2 linked regions of the Elephas maximus indicus genome follow. The protein of the gene in region 1 binds, or shares a complex with, the protein of each later gene. Links are inferred from orthologs where the notes say so. Each region holds a gene or a part of one and is shown on either strand. Other genes may lie near its edges.

What was found. The genes of interacting proteins can lie anywhere in the genome.
Region 2: the proteins of DLC1 (region 1) and TNS2 are in contact, whole or in part, in an NMR structure (PDB 2LOZ), measured with the Homo sapiens proteins. The link is inferred for Elephas maximus indicus from reciprocal best matches to the Homo sapiens genes DLC1 and TNS2. Residues at the interface, in NP_001335010.1 of Homo sapiens: Glu811, Asp812, His813, Lys814, Pro815, Gly816, Thr817, Phe818, Pro819, Ala821, Leu822, Thr823, Asn824; in NP_736610.2 of Homo sapiens: Asp1268, Leu1269, Leu1270, Arg1271, Gln1272, Gly1273, Ala1274, Ala1275, Cys1276, Lys1317, Ser1319, Ala1320, Gln1321, Thr1324, Leu1387, Asp1388, Pro1389, Asp1390, Gln1391, Val1403, Leu1404, Leu1405, Gly1406.

The regions. Positions count from the first base shown.
Region 1 is NC_064840.1:73,077,912-73,085,845, reverse strand, and holds the start of DLC1 (rho GTPase-activating protein 7), read left to right. Parts: upstream 1-4,925; 5' UTR 4,926-5,131; intron 5,132-5,572; exon of another isoform or gene 5,573-5,975; intron 5,976-7,934. UniProt on the Homo sapiens protein: Functions as a GTPase-activating protein for the small GTPases RHOA, RHOB, RHOC and CDC42, terminating their downstream signaling.
Region 2 is NC_064822.1:108,563,236-108,571,249, reverse strand, and holds the start of TNS2 (tensin-2), read right to left. Parts: upstream 3,006-8,014; 5' UTR 2,868-3,005; coding exon 2,793-2,867; intron 311-2,792; exon of another isoform or gene 212-310; coding exon of another isoform or gene 137-211; intron 1-136. Other genes in the region: EIF4B (eukaryotic translation initiation factor 4B), read right to left, coding at 6,781-6,861, 7,443-7,515, 7,796-7,904. UniProt on the Homo sapiens protein: Tyrosine-protein phosphatase which regulates cell motility, proliferation and muscle-response to insulin. Phosphatase activity is mediated by binding to phosphatidylinositol-3,4,5-triphosphate (PtdIns(3,4,5)P3) via the SH2 domain.

The DNA.
Region 1 (7,934 bases):
GCTGGTGATTTGAACTGCCCACCTTTTGGTGAGCAGCTGTAGCACTTAACCACTGCATCACCAGGGCTCCTGCATAGAAGGTGAGAACTCTTATCATTGAACCAACATTGCCTTCAGAACAGTAACTATACAATGTATATGTGTGAATGGATACTAAGCATGTTTTTGTATTCTGAAGGTCTCCAGTGGTTCCATTTTAAAGGGAAAAATACAAATATATATTTACATTTTAACAGAAATGGAACAGACATTCTTTCAAGGATATAAGCCTTTGTACCAACTGTGTGGCCTTCTGATGATAGGCTGAGAATGCTGCTCCATTCTTTATAGTAGATAGAGCACTTGTTAAGGAGACAGGCAGAATGACCATCAAAGGGCAGGGATGTGGTTGGAGCGGAGATCTGACTGAGGAGAGAGCATCTGGACCCAGCATTGAGGAGTCTGGACATAGGCAATCTCACCTGTTTTCCCAGGTGAGCACAAGGTTAGGAGAGAATATTCAGCCGCCATTTGAAAAGCTACAGGAGAAGCCAGACGGAGTGTGGGCTCAAGCCAAATGTGAGGAGGAACATTTTTTGAGTTGACTAAAGATGTAGGAATATTTTCGAGCCATGATATGAGAATGTCAGGGAACACTATGGTAAAGCTTAGCAAATATGACTGGAGTGAGACATACGGTGATGTTAGCTTCAGTTTTCATACAGAATGATTGTACGATACGAGCTAGCCCTCTACTAGATGGGCACCCCAGACCTCTCGATAATGGAACCAGCCTTGCATGACTTGTCATCTTCATGTTTCTGAGAGTAACCTAGCCGTTGTGGACAGGCAGCGAGAGCCATCAGCTTCTAAGGTCATATATATTCAAGTAACTTTCTGCGAATAGAATTTTTTTCTTTTTCTTTTTGCTAAGTATATTCTTTCAAAGCAATTGGAAATTTATCAAAGTTTTTTTTTTTCTTTGTAATCATTTCTGGATTGTAATAATTTTCCGCGAAGCAAAGCAAGGAATATAATAATCCAAGAAACAGGTATAATTGGTTTTGGGAGTTTCAGTAATTTTGCTAACTTGGTTAGTTTAACATCAAACTTACATAATTGTGTTCCTTTGATAAATACTCTCAGATGAATACTAAATGGCTAGAAAAAGTGGTGTGTCAAAACTTTAATACTGTTGATTAGAAAGACTAATAATACATAAGCAGATTATTAACTATAAACAATACAGTTGTATGGTCATTTTTTTCTACCTCTGTGTGTGTGCCTATCAAGATCAACTTACTGGATGAAAGTTCATGTTGAAGCTACTGAAAAATTACTAGAAATGCTGTCAAATGAATTATATTTTTATTGCTTTGACATACATGTGATAACTCCAATAAAATAGAAGCTAAGTGCCATTAAATAGGAATTTGTAGATGATCAATGTTCACAGACAAAGCCCTCCTACATTTGTTTCACCAGCTGTACATGCGTGGACATTTCTAAAGTGCTTTGAAGGCTTTTGTTCTCTCTACATATTAATTACAAATTCATTACTATCATGAAACTAACCCATCATAAAAATATAAAGAATAAGAATAGAAGCCTACTTCACTGAAGAGACTGGAAATGTCAAATGTAGGTACTGAAATTATTGATGAATTTGTGAAAGAGTAAAACATCACTTTCAAAGATTGATCTCACTTTGCAGTCAAAGGATTATTGGACTGCATTGAAGTCATTGAACAATTCTGTTAAAGAAGTCCAGATTCAGATTTCCTGAAAATAATTGAGGAATTACTGGATAGACTCTCATAAACCAAAACCAAACCCGTTGCTGTCAAGTTGGTTCCGACTCTTAGCAACCCTACAGGACAGAGTAGAACGGCCTCGCAGAGCTTCCAAGGAGCACCTGTTGGATTAGAACCACCAGCCTTTCGGTTAGCAGCCGTAGCACTTAACCACCACGCCACCAGGGTTTCCTAGACTATCACAGACAGTGTTTATTGCTTAGATCATGGTACGTGAGAAGACAGTTGATCTTCAAAATAACTCTGAATCTTCCTTACGCCAGTCCCTTCTCTTCCCACAGAGCATGTGACTGCTCCACTAGCAAAATTGTTCTACACGTATACATTCAACTCAGGGGTCAATAGGCGGGTAGTTAGATAGATAAATAGATACTAAAAATATCACAGAAGAGAGCAGGATCACAATGTACAATTATTTAAATGATAAAAATAATAGTACCTAACACTGACCGCCGCGGAAACACCCCTACGTGGTGCAGTTCACATTCTCGGGTGCTCACGGAAAGGCTGGAGGTTTGATTTCACTCAGAGGTGCCTCGGAAGAAAACCCCAGTGATCCATTTTTGAAGAAATCAGTCCTTGAAAAGCCTATGGAGCACAGCTCTGCTTTGATACCCACGGGGTAGCCGTGAGTTGGAATCAGGTTAAGGGCAACTGTTTTTAACCTTGAACGCTGCACTAGTCAGAAAGTCTTAAGGCTTTATGTAACTATCTTCTGTAATTTTGAAAGCAAAAAAAAAAAAAAAACTTAGTTACACAGGCTAAAACTGAAGCTTCTAGAGGTTAAGAAATTTGCACAGAGTCACATGGGATGCTAGCCTGGAGCCAGATGTCTATCTGGATGTTCTGTTTTCAAGTTCTTAACTGCCTCGATAGCATACTTTATTAGCCGATGGGGCTTGGAGTAATAGGCACACCTTTGCTGGAGTAAGGTATTTAGATTTACAAATAAAAGGAGAAGGGGACAGATACTTCGGAGCTCTTTCATGTGCCTGACACTGTGATAAGAATTAAGGAAGTCATCTCATTATTTATCTTTATACTCATATTTGGTAAAGCCTTTATGAGTGTGTAAGTTCTGGGATTTGTCTGGAGTCAAGCAACTGAAAGATGAAAAATAAATGAGTGATTAAAGATTGAGGAAGTAATCCTTCTCAGCGTAGAATAAAACATGGCATCTTCCTTGATTAGAGAAAAGAAACTGACTAATAAAGAGTATCTGGATATCTAAAAAAGGTATTTTATAACTGTATGTGAACAGGGTTTTGATGTTTCCTCAGACCAGGATAAACAGAAACAAAGCTAAGTTGTGTAAGTGGAGAAAGGTTATACTATTCATCAGGAGAACCTAGCTAAACAGCATCAGCAGGCGACTGATATTGATTGAGTTCCTACTATACACCAGGACTAGAGGCAAAAAAAAAAAAACCCGTTACCCTCGAGTAGAGTCCAACTCATAGCAACCCTATAGGACAGTGTCGAACTGCCCCATAGAGTTTCCAGGGAGCACCTTGTGGATTCAAACTGCTGTGCTTTCGTTAGCAGCCAAGCTCTTAACCACTATGCAACCGGGGCTCCAGAGACAAATATAGAGATACATAAATTATTTTAGGAAGAAGTTCCATCAATTCTCATTCCACGCCACTCTAGTATTTTTCTTAGGAAAACAAGTACAAACATGTAAATATATGTGGATATGAATTTAATTGTCTCTAATCTGTGAGTTATGTAGAATTGTCCCTATGGTTAAAGAAGAATCTGAAACTCAGAAAGTTTAAGACGTCTTCCCAACTTCACACAACAATTAAGCCAGAAGCCAAGAGAGGCAGAACTGTTACAGGGGGAAAAGAAGCACAAAACGTAGAAGACCTGAGTTGCAATCTGACCTTGGCCACATTCCATCATTTGTCCGTAAGAAAATTACTTCTACAAATTTATAATTCTTTATCTGTAAAATGGGAATGCGTGCAAAGATTAAATGGGCATGGTGTTGGAGGAAGTACTTTGAATATGAACATAAATAATCCTTCAAAGAATTTATGAAAGAATGTACTTCCTTCTTGGCATACATTTGAAAGTTAAAGGGACTCTAAACAGCCATTTTTCTGATCAGTGATGTTATGGTCTAAGCTTTGAGAAACTGCTTCTGCCGTCATGTTTTTATTTGAATACTTCTCACCTTCAAATTCATGTGCCATATAAATCATTATTATTATTTGCCATTTAACATATCTGTAAAGTTGTCCGTGCCCTGCACTGATTTTGGGAGAATTTAATTATTCATTAAGAAGGGAGGTAGTAGCTATAAGGCCATACTTCTTTAAGTTATCACCTACCCAACATTCTCAGGGTGTACTGAGGAGATGGCTCAGTCCTATTCAGATATCTGCCAACATTTACAGAAATTAGAGCCAACTGGGAATAAAAGTGAACATGAAAGCTACTTAAATTTCAAAGAAGTGCAGGAAAGATCTTAGGGCCAATAGGTTTAATGTTTCTTGTCTGTCTTTGAGTGTTACCCATTTATCATACTTGAGCTGGAATTGTCCTTGTCCCTCCTATTATTGAAAATCCCTAGGAATTTAGGGACAGACCCAATAATTGGATTGGTGATCACCAATCCCTGAAAAAAATGTTTCAGCCATACATAACAGTAGACTGTTGATTGTAAATAAAGTAGAAGGGGAAAATTACAGAGCAATTTAAACTCAGCAAGATAATTAAACTCAGAGACACTGTTCTCCGCTTCTCCGGTCTAAACAAAGAAGTCCCCCCACTGACCTCTCTACAAACTGGATGTCCCAAGGCCATGTCCCTCTGCTCTCCTTCCACTTTGCCTAAGGAGTACGCTGGGTCATAAGGGAATGAGAATGGTTGTGACTTCTTCCCTGAAACGGCTCACGCTTCCTCTGCTTTTGTATTTGTGACATTTTATTACAAGAGGAGCTAACATCTATTATTAATTGATGCACTAATTAAAGCCATACTTGCAGTTTCCATTAGCTTATTCCCTAAATTCTCCGGAGTTGGCTGTCTGGTTTTAATCAAAACCAAATGGTAGTCCAAGTTCCCAGCGTGGAGCAGCTAGGAGGAAGTCATTCAGTGGAGGCACGAGAAAGCAGAAAAGATAAACAGATGATGTTCACAAAAATCGTGTCGGGCATAGGGTGTTGGTACCGTGAGCTGCTTTAGAGACGTGATTCAGAGACTCTGTCGTGTTAGGTGGAAGCAGTCGCAAAGTATTTAATGTCAGCAGGATTCTAATATGATCAAGATGGAGTCTGTCTCCTGCCTTTCCAGCCCTGGATTTGTGTAAGTCTGGAGGATTCTGACTAGAGGTAAAGCTGCTTATGCCACAACCCACAACCACTTTGATTCGTGACAGCGATTTGGGATTGGAGAGATCTTGAAGAAAACGTTGGATTTACTGGGTTCTTGGAATTGTAGATTTTCTCAGGTGCTATCTGTAGAGCAGCAGCACTTTGAAGTTTTAAGGAGTGGGAAAAGGGTTTTAAAATTTAGAAGAATTACGGTATTAAAACTCTACATTCATCTTGCTCTCTTAAAAGATCTTTTGAAAGGAGCACTGGCAAAGGTATTTTGGCTAAGCTGTGTATATGCATTGAATGTAGTGGAAAGGTTGTAGCTGGGGAAGAGAACTGTGTTTTCTTTCTTTCTTTTTTTCTTTCATCAGCAACGTGGGCTAGAAAAAGCTCTAAGACTTTATGACTCTCCAGCTAATCACCTCAAGAGCTTTGACAAACTCACTTCAGTTCTGTGTAAAATCAGAATTCCTAAAACGCCCAGCCGGGCTCTGCTCTCTCTCGCTCCCCTCCCCAACTGCAGTCTTTCTCACATACACACTACTCAGAGGCAGGAAATACTTTCCAGGCAATCTGGGCCTGGTTGTGGAGGCCCCTTTCGCAAAACATCAGTCTGAATTGAGTAGACAGAAGTCACCAGGAACGCCTTGACAGAATCCTGCTTTAGCTAAGGCTCCCTCCAGCTGCGGAGGGTGTTTTGGTTAGAATCACACACTGCGTAAAACTGCTTAGAATAGAGCCATGATCTCAACCACGAAATGTGAACTTGTATTCTGGAGAAACTAACGGGACGGACTTCTTTCATAGCCCGAGTGTTGAACAGTGTCTTGCCTGGGCGTCTCAGCTTCTCGTTGTCTAGGTAAGAAGGTCTGCTGGGCTCTGTCTTTATACTTGGAGGTAATCGTTGGAGAGGTGGAAAGACTGAGATAAATGTTAGCACCTTGGACCCGAGGGGTGTCTTCCTAGGTTTTTGAGTTAAGCCATGAAATCAGAAGTGAAAAATGTTTACTAAGTAGAAAACTGTGAGTCAAATAGTTTTAGCAAAATGTCATTTCTAAAACAGCCTCCATATAGATTTTACTCTTTTCCTCCATAAAGTAAGATTTTATTTTGATCCCTTTTTATTCTTAACTTATTTATTAATTGAGCTATAAGAGCAGTTTTTCGAACACATGAGATAAAATGTAACGCATATATGTTCTAACACGTAGGGATGAGATGTGAATAGATTCCATTTTTTTTTTTTTAAACCGTCTTTTGCCCACAGGGAGAGTAGATATTAGTAGGGTAACTGCTTTAATAATGAATCTCCTAAGACAGCTGATTTGTGTCGCATTTACGATTATGACTATTGGGTTCCTCAATATCTCTGCATATCAGTTTCAACTACAGGTCAAGCTGTTTGTGTAGAGCTTAAAAAAAAAAAGTAACAAATGCATGAAATTTCAGAACTTATTTCTGCCCTAACTAGTATTTCATCTGAGTTTCAGAAATTGAAATATCACACTTATTATTTAATTTATATATTTCCTTTTCTGAATTCACTGATCAGGTTGTATTTTCTGTGGATGTTTTTGAAAGATGAAAGTAAACCTTAATGACAATGCCGTTCATTATTACTGTTTTAGGACAGCCGGAAATCTCCACAATCATATGAAAGATGGATCAAGCATCCATGCTTCATATAACCATAAAACTACATGTCTAAAGGACTATGGTGCCACCACATCTACCTTAAAGGGTTAAATATGCAAGATATGAGGAAAGAAACTTTATATTACTGAAATAGCATGGACTACCAATGCATAGCATATTGTTACATTTATACCTTCAAATATTTAGAATAAACACCATTATTTTCTGGACATAACATGGAATGGTGTAAAAGGGAGCAAAGATTCAGGCACATTACCGAGTCAGTTAGAGTAACTCATCTGTTAGTACACTGAATGAAAGTTGGAGAGCTACTTTGACAGCTGGGTCATAAAAAAATCAAATGTTTTAATGATGAGCTTTTACATAGTACAGGGTGGCCATTTACTGGATAAGTTAATTTATTCTTAAAATCTATGCTAGAATAACATATTGATATGTTTTAACCGTTCACTAACAATTTGTCATGTTGAAACTTTCAATCCATGAGAAAAAGGATCGATGTATCTATAAATGTTAAATATATGTATATACTGACTTATCTACAGTGTAGCTTAATAAAATCCTTGAAGAGAATTTCGGGGAAGGAGAGAACGTAAGAGATCATCTTTTCCAACAGTGCCCTCAGGCTTCTGACAAGGGGACTGAGGAATGGCATTCTTAAGTGACCTGTCCAAGATCATACCACTCGCTAGTGAAGAGAGGACAGTGAAACACAGTCCCCCAATTCATGGTCCAGACATCTCTACAGCACAGCGTGTTGCTCTCAGATAATGTGCAAAATGAAGTATGAGCGTGTCCAGGAGAAAAGGCTACTTCGCAGACAGAAATTGGAGTGCCTCTTAAAAACAAAAAAAAAAGGTTTAAAGCTGCCACTAGTGTTACTTACGTGGGAAACAAAAAAATCAAGGTTTCAAAAAAAAAGCAAGTTTACTAAGTAATACAGTTTTCTCAAATGCACAAGTTTTCTTAAAAATATTTACTGTGGCTTTAGCCAGCACTGTAAATGAATAACTTGTTTTGTGATCGTTCTGTCACATCTCATGTTCGTGCCAGGAAAATCGCTCCATGTGCTAATAATTATATTAATTTTAAACTGGTGTTTCTTAGAAACACAGGGCTAGACGAGAGTTTGACTAATTCATATCCTTGTATTCAAATGGTA
Region 2 (8,014 bases), on another chromosome or scaffold:
CAAGGCCCGCCCGGACCCCCAAACATGGGGAGCCCACCCCACTCCGCGCGCCCCCTGGCGCCCGCCCCCGGCACTGCCCGCTCAGCCGTGACGCAGAGGCCACCGCCCTCCGGCCTAGCGCGGCTCGGCCACTCACCTGCGGGGGGCGCCCGGCGGGGCGGGGGCGCACCGGGGCGGGGCAGCAGCAGGGGTTGCCCCCGGGCCAGCCCATCCCGCCGGGGCCCTTGCCGAGCGGGACCAGCAGGAGGAGGGGAGCGGGCGCGCCGCGCTCGGCCGGCCGGGCTCCCTCCCACCCCGCCGCTCCCCGCGGCCACGGCCGCCCTCTCCCTCGCCCCTTTCCTCCCTCCCTCCTTCGCCCCGGCTCCAATCCCCACGTTCCGCCCGCTCCCCGCCCCCTCGGCCTCTCTCCTTTCTCCGTCTTCTCTCCACCTTCTCCCGCGAACGCAGACTCACAAAGAGACAAGAAGCAAGAGGAACGCAGAGACGGTCAGAGGAAGAGTCAGGGAGAGACTCTGACAGGAAGAGACTAAGAGATCGGGAAAAAGATTTTGAGAAAGGCATGGAGAACACAGGGACAGGAAAATTTCAGAGACAGGGAGAAACCCAGAGATGGCAACAGACAGTCGAGGAGAGGCTGACCTGGAGGGACACAGGCAAAAAGAAACACCCGAGCCAGACAGACGCCGAAGGAAAGGTGGACATTGGCCCCGTAGGGAGTAGAATCAAAAGTGCCGAGAACTGCCCGGTCTCTCGCAGCCTGCCCCCTTCACAGGAGCTTGTTTGGCACTGGGCTTGACCCCAAAGCCCCAGCCGGGACCCACCCGCGGCCTGGCCTGGTGAGGCCAGGCCCATCTGCCCACGGGGCGCCAGAATCAGGTGAAGACACCTGGTGTTACTTGTGTGCCAAGTTGCCTGACACCCTTTCCTGGTCCTCTGCCTCACGGGAGACTTTGATGTCACCTATGCCTGCAAAAGGACTCACACCAGAGGACCCCATATTGTGCTCAACCAGTGCCTCCCCACATGCAGCTCCAGTCATCCCAACCATTGCCCTACTTCGGAGCTGGATGGTCATTCCCACTCCTTAGGAGACATCTGTTCAAGAAAGTCTTGCTTATATTTAACTCAAGTCCCAGGCTTCCCCAATGATGATTAAAGTTCCTTCTATAATCTAACCTCATTCCCTTCTTTTGCAGTTTCTGGATCTAGTATTGAATAGGAGCTTCCTGAAATGGAGCTAAATGGGTGCTGAGGGTGGTTTGAATTGTGCCACCCTGGAGGGGAAGTGGGAGGGGAGGGATGAAAGAGGGGATGTCTTCCTAAAAGCTCTGAGCCTACTGCCATGCCCAGATTCCCTAACGTTCTTTAACAGTGAGCACTTCCTGAAACTTCCTCTCTCCCTCACCCTCCCCACTAGAATTTCCATGATGAAAACTGGTAAGGGGGGGCTCAGGGAGGGGGGAAGGTGGATTCTGGATTCTGAGAATTCAGTGCCCAGGGCTCAATGCCCAGTGCCTGCTCAAAGCAGCCAGTGCCCCCAGCGCTAAGACCCTCTTTCCCTCCCTGTCCCATCTTTCAGCTGGGTCTCTTTCTGTCCTCATCTTGCCTCTGGCAGAGGCTGGGAAATATGGTTCCTATTAGAAGGGGGTGGAGCACCTGAGTCCAAGTTGGCGGCAGGGAGGAGACTGAAGCAGAGCATGGTGACAATGTGGGTCCCTCTGAAACCAGCCTTTGGCGGGGGCTGGTGTGGCTGGGATGGAGCCCTGGTGGTGGAGTGGCTCAGCTGTTAACCAAAAAGTCAGCAGTGTGAATCCACCAGCCACTCCTTGGAAACCCTACGGGACAGTTCTACTTTGTCCTGTAGGGTCGCTATGAGTCAGAATCGACTTGACAGCAGTGTTTTTTTTTGGGTGGGGTGGGGTTGGTATGGCTGGGACTGGGAAGCTTTTATTTTACCACTCTTGGCTGAGTTGGTGTCCAGTAAGCAGTTTCAGAGGTTAGATCAGTGAGAGTCACCAGGGTCTGGAGGAAGGGCTGGGGGCTAGGGGTGGTGATGTGGTGGGGTCTTGGAGGGAAGGGGTAGAGACACAGGGAGGAGGCGAGAGGCAGAGTTAAGACAGAGAAGAGTGGCAGAGATTGGAGGCTACTGGGGAAAGGGCAGGACTGAAGGTCATGCTGTGTATTTTGCCAAGATTTGATTACATAAGCAAGATACAGATGATATGATTTCCTTATGTCTTTGGAGCCTACAGCTGGCTCTTAACATCTTGCCCTTCCCAATGTTCATTAGGGTCTTTGGCTGGAGACTAGGATGCATTTCATGTGGGTATTGAGGGAGAGATTGGGACTCGGAGAAGAGGATTGGATCCCAGAGAGGTGGGTAGAGCTAGGACCTCACACATGCCGGTATTGCTGCCTTGACTGATGGGCCCACAAGAGGAACTTCTGAGGTCCTGAGAAGTTGGGGGAGGGCCACAAGACAGGTAGCTGAACTCCCAACTCAAACTTGAATCCTACTCTCAACATGGAGACTAAGGGTTGGGGGAAGGAGGCTGCAGGAAAGAAGCTGATGAGAAGGTTGGGAGTGAAAAATCTTATAGAAGGTGGCTTGGTGGGAGTGAAATAAAAATGGGTGGTAAATGAAGCCCAGCCAGGCACTCTGATTAGCAGCTCAGAACAGTGGGAACTTCAGAAGGGAGGGGGAGAGGAAAGGGAAAGCCAGGAGAATGTTAATGAGGGTGAAACAATTTTAGGGATACCCTCTGACCCTCCCTCCATGTAGGTTTTCTTACCTTGACTATGCAGAAGGCAGCCCATCTTGGCACCAAAGGCTGAACCCCTTCTTCCATAGTCTGGGGTGATCCCATGCCTGTGACTGCGTGTGCTCAGATCCTTGCAGTGGTAGGGGTGCTACAGAAGAGGGACATTGAGGGTGTGGGGGTGTCCTGGCTGGAAAAGCACTGGGTCAGGGGAACTTCGGTGGAGGATTTAGGCGCTGGAAACCAGGAAGAGCGGGGGAAGGGGATGAACTGACTCCAGAGGCGGATCTCCTGGCCCTGAGGACAGAGGGTGTATTGTCCAACCGGGAGGTTGCTGCAGCTGGGCGGGGAGCAGCACAGCCCGACCCTTCCAAACTCCTTTTTGAGGAGTGGGGTGGGTGATGAAAGGCAAGTTCCCCCTTCTTCACTTGTGGCCCTAGGGGCTACAGTGGTTGCTGAGAAACAAGGATATGTGACAAATACAGCTTCCCAGGAGCAGCAGTGCAGCTCTTCCATTTCCTGAGAAACCAGATGCTGTGAGCCTGAGTAGCACTTGAGGCGACGCCCTCAGCACTCACCCAGACCCTCATTGCCTTGTAACGCAGAACACAGTTGTTAGCGTTGGATTGTTTAGGGGACTGGAATACACAGGGAACTCGCCCAGCCTACAGCTGAGATGCTGCACCCATATACCCTTCACCCACCTTCCTGTTTGCTCATGATTTACAGTAAACTGAGAGTGCAAGCTGGCCAGTCCTGGGATCCATTTCTGCTGCTGGGCTTCTAAGAGGACCCACACACCCTGATATAACTGAGGATGTGGGGCACAGCAAAGCCTATAGCTTTTCCTGGAACTTAGGAGTCCCTGGGTAGCACAAATGGTTACCTGAAAGGCTTGTGGTTTACACCCACCCAGAGGCACCTCGGAAGGCCTGATGGTCTGCTTCAGAAGGATCACAGCCATCAAAACCATGGAGCAAAGCTCTACCCTGAACCATACGGGCTGCCATGAATTGACTCAACGGCAACTGGTGGTCCTAGTTCTGGAGTGCCTCGTTCCGTACCTTTTCTGTGCACAACCCACATAAGCCTCTTTAAGTCAGCCTTTCTGCTTTTGTCTGCCTTTTCATCATTATTTACCCAGACCTCACTATTTCACAGGAGGGGAGGGACTTAAACTGGAGGCTTGGAGAATGAAGGTGACCAAGGCCACTTCCTGTGCCGCAGCTGGGCAAACAAGCACTGTTTTATAGGCACCACAGGCAGCCTGAGCAGGGGCACCTTTTCCTCCCTACCTACACCCACACTGAATGGCTTCTGTATCATCACAGCACACTGAGCCTTATCCCTCAACTTGCTGACTTTGGAGAACCAAGATCAGCGCATGAAGAGCAGCTGCTCCAGCTGGCCCTGTGAGGCAGTTTAACTGTGTGCCCCTTCTTCACATCCCTTGGCTCCAAGTCCCCCAAATTGACTGAAGCTTCCTGGGTCTTCTATGCTCCACCCCTCGTGACCTTAAGGACTCTCTGCCACTGTCCTAACTCCTTTTCTACTTTGCAACAATGACCAGTCTGTTCTTCTGTTTGGAAAATTCCTGCTAGGTCTGAGGGATGATCTCAAGCGGCCTCAGTTGTGGTAGCCCAGGCCAGCCTGTCACCCAGAACTTCATCCCACCAGAGCGGGGTAACCCAGCAAAGTAACACCTCTGGACTGAAGTAAGGGCAAGCGTTTGCAGAGGAACTGACCCATGCATGTGAAGATTTACCCTCGGGACATCTCATGCCTGAAAGGTATACTACAGGCAAGCTCAGCTGATACAGTAAAGGTTAACCTGGAGGGGAGCTGGTGTGAGAGTTGTCTTAGGGCTTCAGTAAGCATCAAAATAGATTTCTCTTGTAAATCTACCCTCTGGTTTTGCACAAAACAGATCTAGTGCTGAAGGAGAACTTTAGAGATGGTGGGGATGGAGCAGGCTGGGGTGTCAATGTGAGTTCAGTAAAAAGCAGTGGGAGTGGGGAGCATATGTCAAAGAATTTCTGCATTAAAATGAACTTTAAAGATCAGATTTATTTGGAGAAAACAAAAAAACCCACAACCCAAAGGATGGGGATTTTACATCTCCCAGGTATTAAGTCTACAGATTACAAATCATTTTCATAGAAGATATTTTTGTACAAATTTTACATGTATTCAGGAGCTGGACATAAATCAATCAGTTTCTGCTTTAACAGGAGGGCAGAGCAAGGGAACGGGAAAGAACAGCTCTTTTGGACACAACTATTTGGAAGGAGAGTAGGCATGAAGAGGGTAAACCCTACTTCTCATTATCTACAGCAAATGGTTTTAAAAATAAAAAATTTCAACCTTGTGTCTCTCTCTCTAAAAGCCCATTTCCTAGTTTCTGACCAATCCATGCTCATTACTTAAAGTTAATTTACTTGGTAGAGCTTTCCTGCCCACTGGGTAGATGATTCATTATGCTTAGTGCCACGGCGAACCAACCAACACCCCTGCGTGGCCAACCTAGGGCCCGATGGCAGAAGGGCTTGCAAACAAGAGACCAAGGTGTCATTTCTCTGCAGGTACCACTGGAAGGACACCATCTACCAAGGTGACCCGTACAAAGGCGCATATAAAAGCAGGCAAGTTAAGCTACTGTGTTGTAAGAGAAACCAGGACCTTGTTACAGTTCTGTCATTTATTCTCTCAAGTGAAGCTAAACACGCAGGCATACATGCACACGCACACACACACACACGTCTAGGCCACATTATAAAACACTCGTGTGGGATTATCAGTGGAGAGAAGGAAATGTGTTAAAAAAAAAAAAAATCAAGGTTGTTAAGGCTCTCAATTTAACTGTCCCTATTTATCTACTCTCATTCACCACCAAAGACCATTAATTCTGAGTTTTCTGATCTGTAAAAGGGGTCAAAGTAACAGGAGCAGGCCCGGCTGATGAGAAGGAGTGAGAGAATAAAGACATCAAGGAGCCCATTCGCTTGAGAAAAACAGTGATTCCTCACCTGACAGCTTCCAGAGGCTGAGATACAAAATGCCTAAAATCAGGTATGTGACTTACATAGAAGCTGATTTTCTGGGATGTAACAATAAAGAACAGTGTAAGGAACACTAAGATAATGACAAGTCTAGACCTTTATAAGCTTCAAGGCTGACAGAACGTGGATATACTTGAAGTTTCAGAAAAGAGTGTTTAGAAAGGGCAAAACCAGGACACATATGACCCAGGAATTCCCACAACACCTAAGTGCTTCCTACTCCAGGAAAAAAAACCATTCATGTATTTATCGGAGGTCATACCATTTCCCTATTACCTGGTGCAAAAGAAATACTTGCCAAAGCTTCTTGATTTTCCCATATTTTTGGTCACCAAGCAGTCCTATTCTTTCACAAAGGCCTGTAGACTCACTCCCTACTACCCCCCTGGGGGGTAAAAATGGAAGAATTCCCCCTAGGCTGGCCCCAGGGACTAGCAGCCTCCCAGAGACTAAAACAACCTCAGAGACTATTTAACCTACCTTCCAAGGATGGACAATTTATTGAGATAATGTTTCAGAATTCATATATGCCACAATAGAATAATAAGAATTAAAAGGTAGAACTCTCGCGCTCTCCCTTATACCTGCCCTACCACGGCACTGGGTTTGGGTACTGCCCAGCCAGCTTCCAGACACTGAATCACTGTCATTACCACTTCTGCTAAATGGAGGCCTCTAGACACTAATCACACAGACAACTGCATGGTGTCATAAAATGCACAGCTTTTCCTCTGGAAGCTGCGTCTTTTTCTCTCTGGCGACATTGGTGATTCTCCAGTTAGTTCAATACTTTAAAGGCTGCAGCAGCATGCAAAAGAATTTCATTAAAAAAAAAAAAAAAAGTTAAGAAAGGTCTCCAGGAGATGGTGAGTTTTATTTTGTCGTGTCTGGACAGAGGTTTGATTTGCTCTTGAATGTTCCAGGGTGGAGAGAGACTAGGAGAAAGCACAGGACATAGAGGTCTATTCGGCGTAATCTTCTCCCTCGTTTTCATCTTCACCATCAACTGAGAGAGCAGCATACTTGCTTGCAGAACTGAATTTCTGTAACAGATTAGAGTGAAAATAACAAAGGCCTTGAACTCCCACATCAAAACTCAAGAAAAAGAACACAGATACTTTGGCAAAAGGAGAATGAATGCCCAGATTACAGCCACTTGCTCATTGGCATAACTGTAGTCACACAGCATCTTTTACCTTCATTCCGTGAAGGAGCGAGTGCAGTCAAAGGTACAAAAGGGGAAAACCAATTTATCTACCATCAGTCGCCACCCAAGACCATTCATTCTAGAGTTTTCTGACCTATAAAAGGGGTCAAAGAAACAGCAACAGGCATGGCTGTTTGGAAGGAGTCAGAGTAAAGACATCAAGGAGCCCATCTGCTCTAGAAGAACAGCAATTCCTCATTTGACAGCTCCCAGTGGCCGAGATACGAAATGCCTAAAATCAGGTATGTGGCTTCATGTACTATTTCAAACAAACACCAAAGTCTCATTTCCAACCACTCTACTTGTAGTCCCAAATGTTAAGGAGTCCAATGGCAAAAGTGAAAATATCAAGATCCTTTAAAAGTGGCATTTCAGAATAAGTGTGACCTGAGAGAAATTGAAGCCTTTAACACGTACAGAGGCTGGATTTTCTTCAGGTTTCTTTGGCTCAGGTGCAGATCTAGAGTCTTGATCCTTTTTGCCATCTTTCCTGCAGAGATTAAGCACAAAACCCCATCTTTAGGAGAGGACCCCCCTGACCCCGCAACTCTGAGGCACTGAACAGATACCTCCAATCACCAGTCCTTGCTATCTGGACATTTTACTATTTCTAGATTCTCAGAATTGTACCTATCTTTATTGGCTGACTTTAGTTTGTCCACAGTGAGAGATCTGGCAGTTAATTAGAGAACCAAGAACTTCTTAATTACAAAGACACTTGTATCTAGCACGGGATGAAAGATTCACGAATGACAAGAAAGAGAACATACCTATCAGACTCCTTCCAGTGGTCTCTGTTCCCTCCATCTCCTGGACCACGGCTGGAGTTCCCACTTTGGCCTTTTGGGACACTTAACCCATCTACTTTATTTTCATCTGCTTGAGAGAGAAAACATAAATTGAGGGCAGGTAGAAGACATACTCTCCCTTCTCCTAGGTTTCCCTTAAGCTGAAGAAATGTGTGTCCCTATGTAGTGAAGGAAATTCAG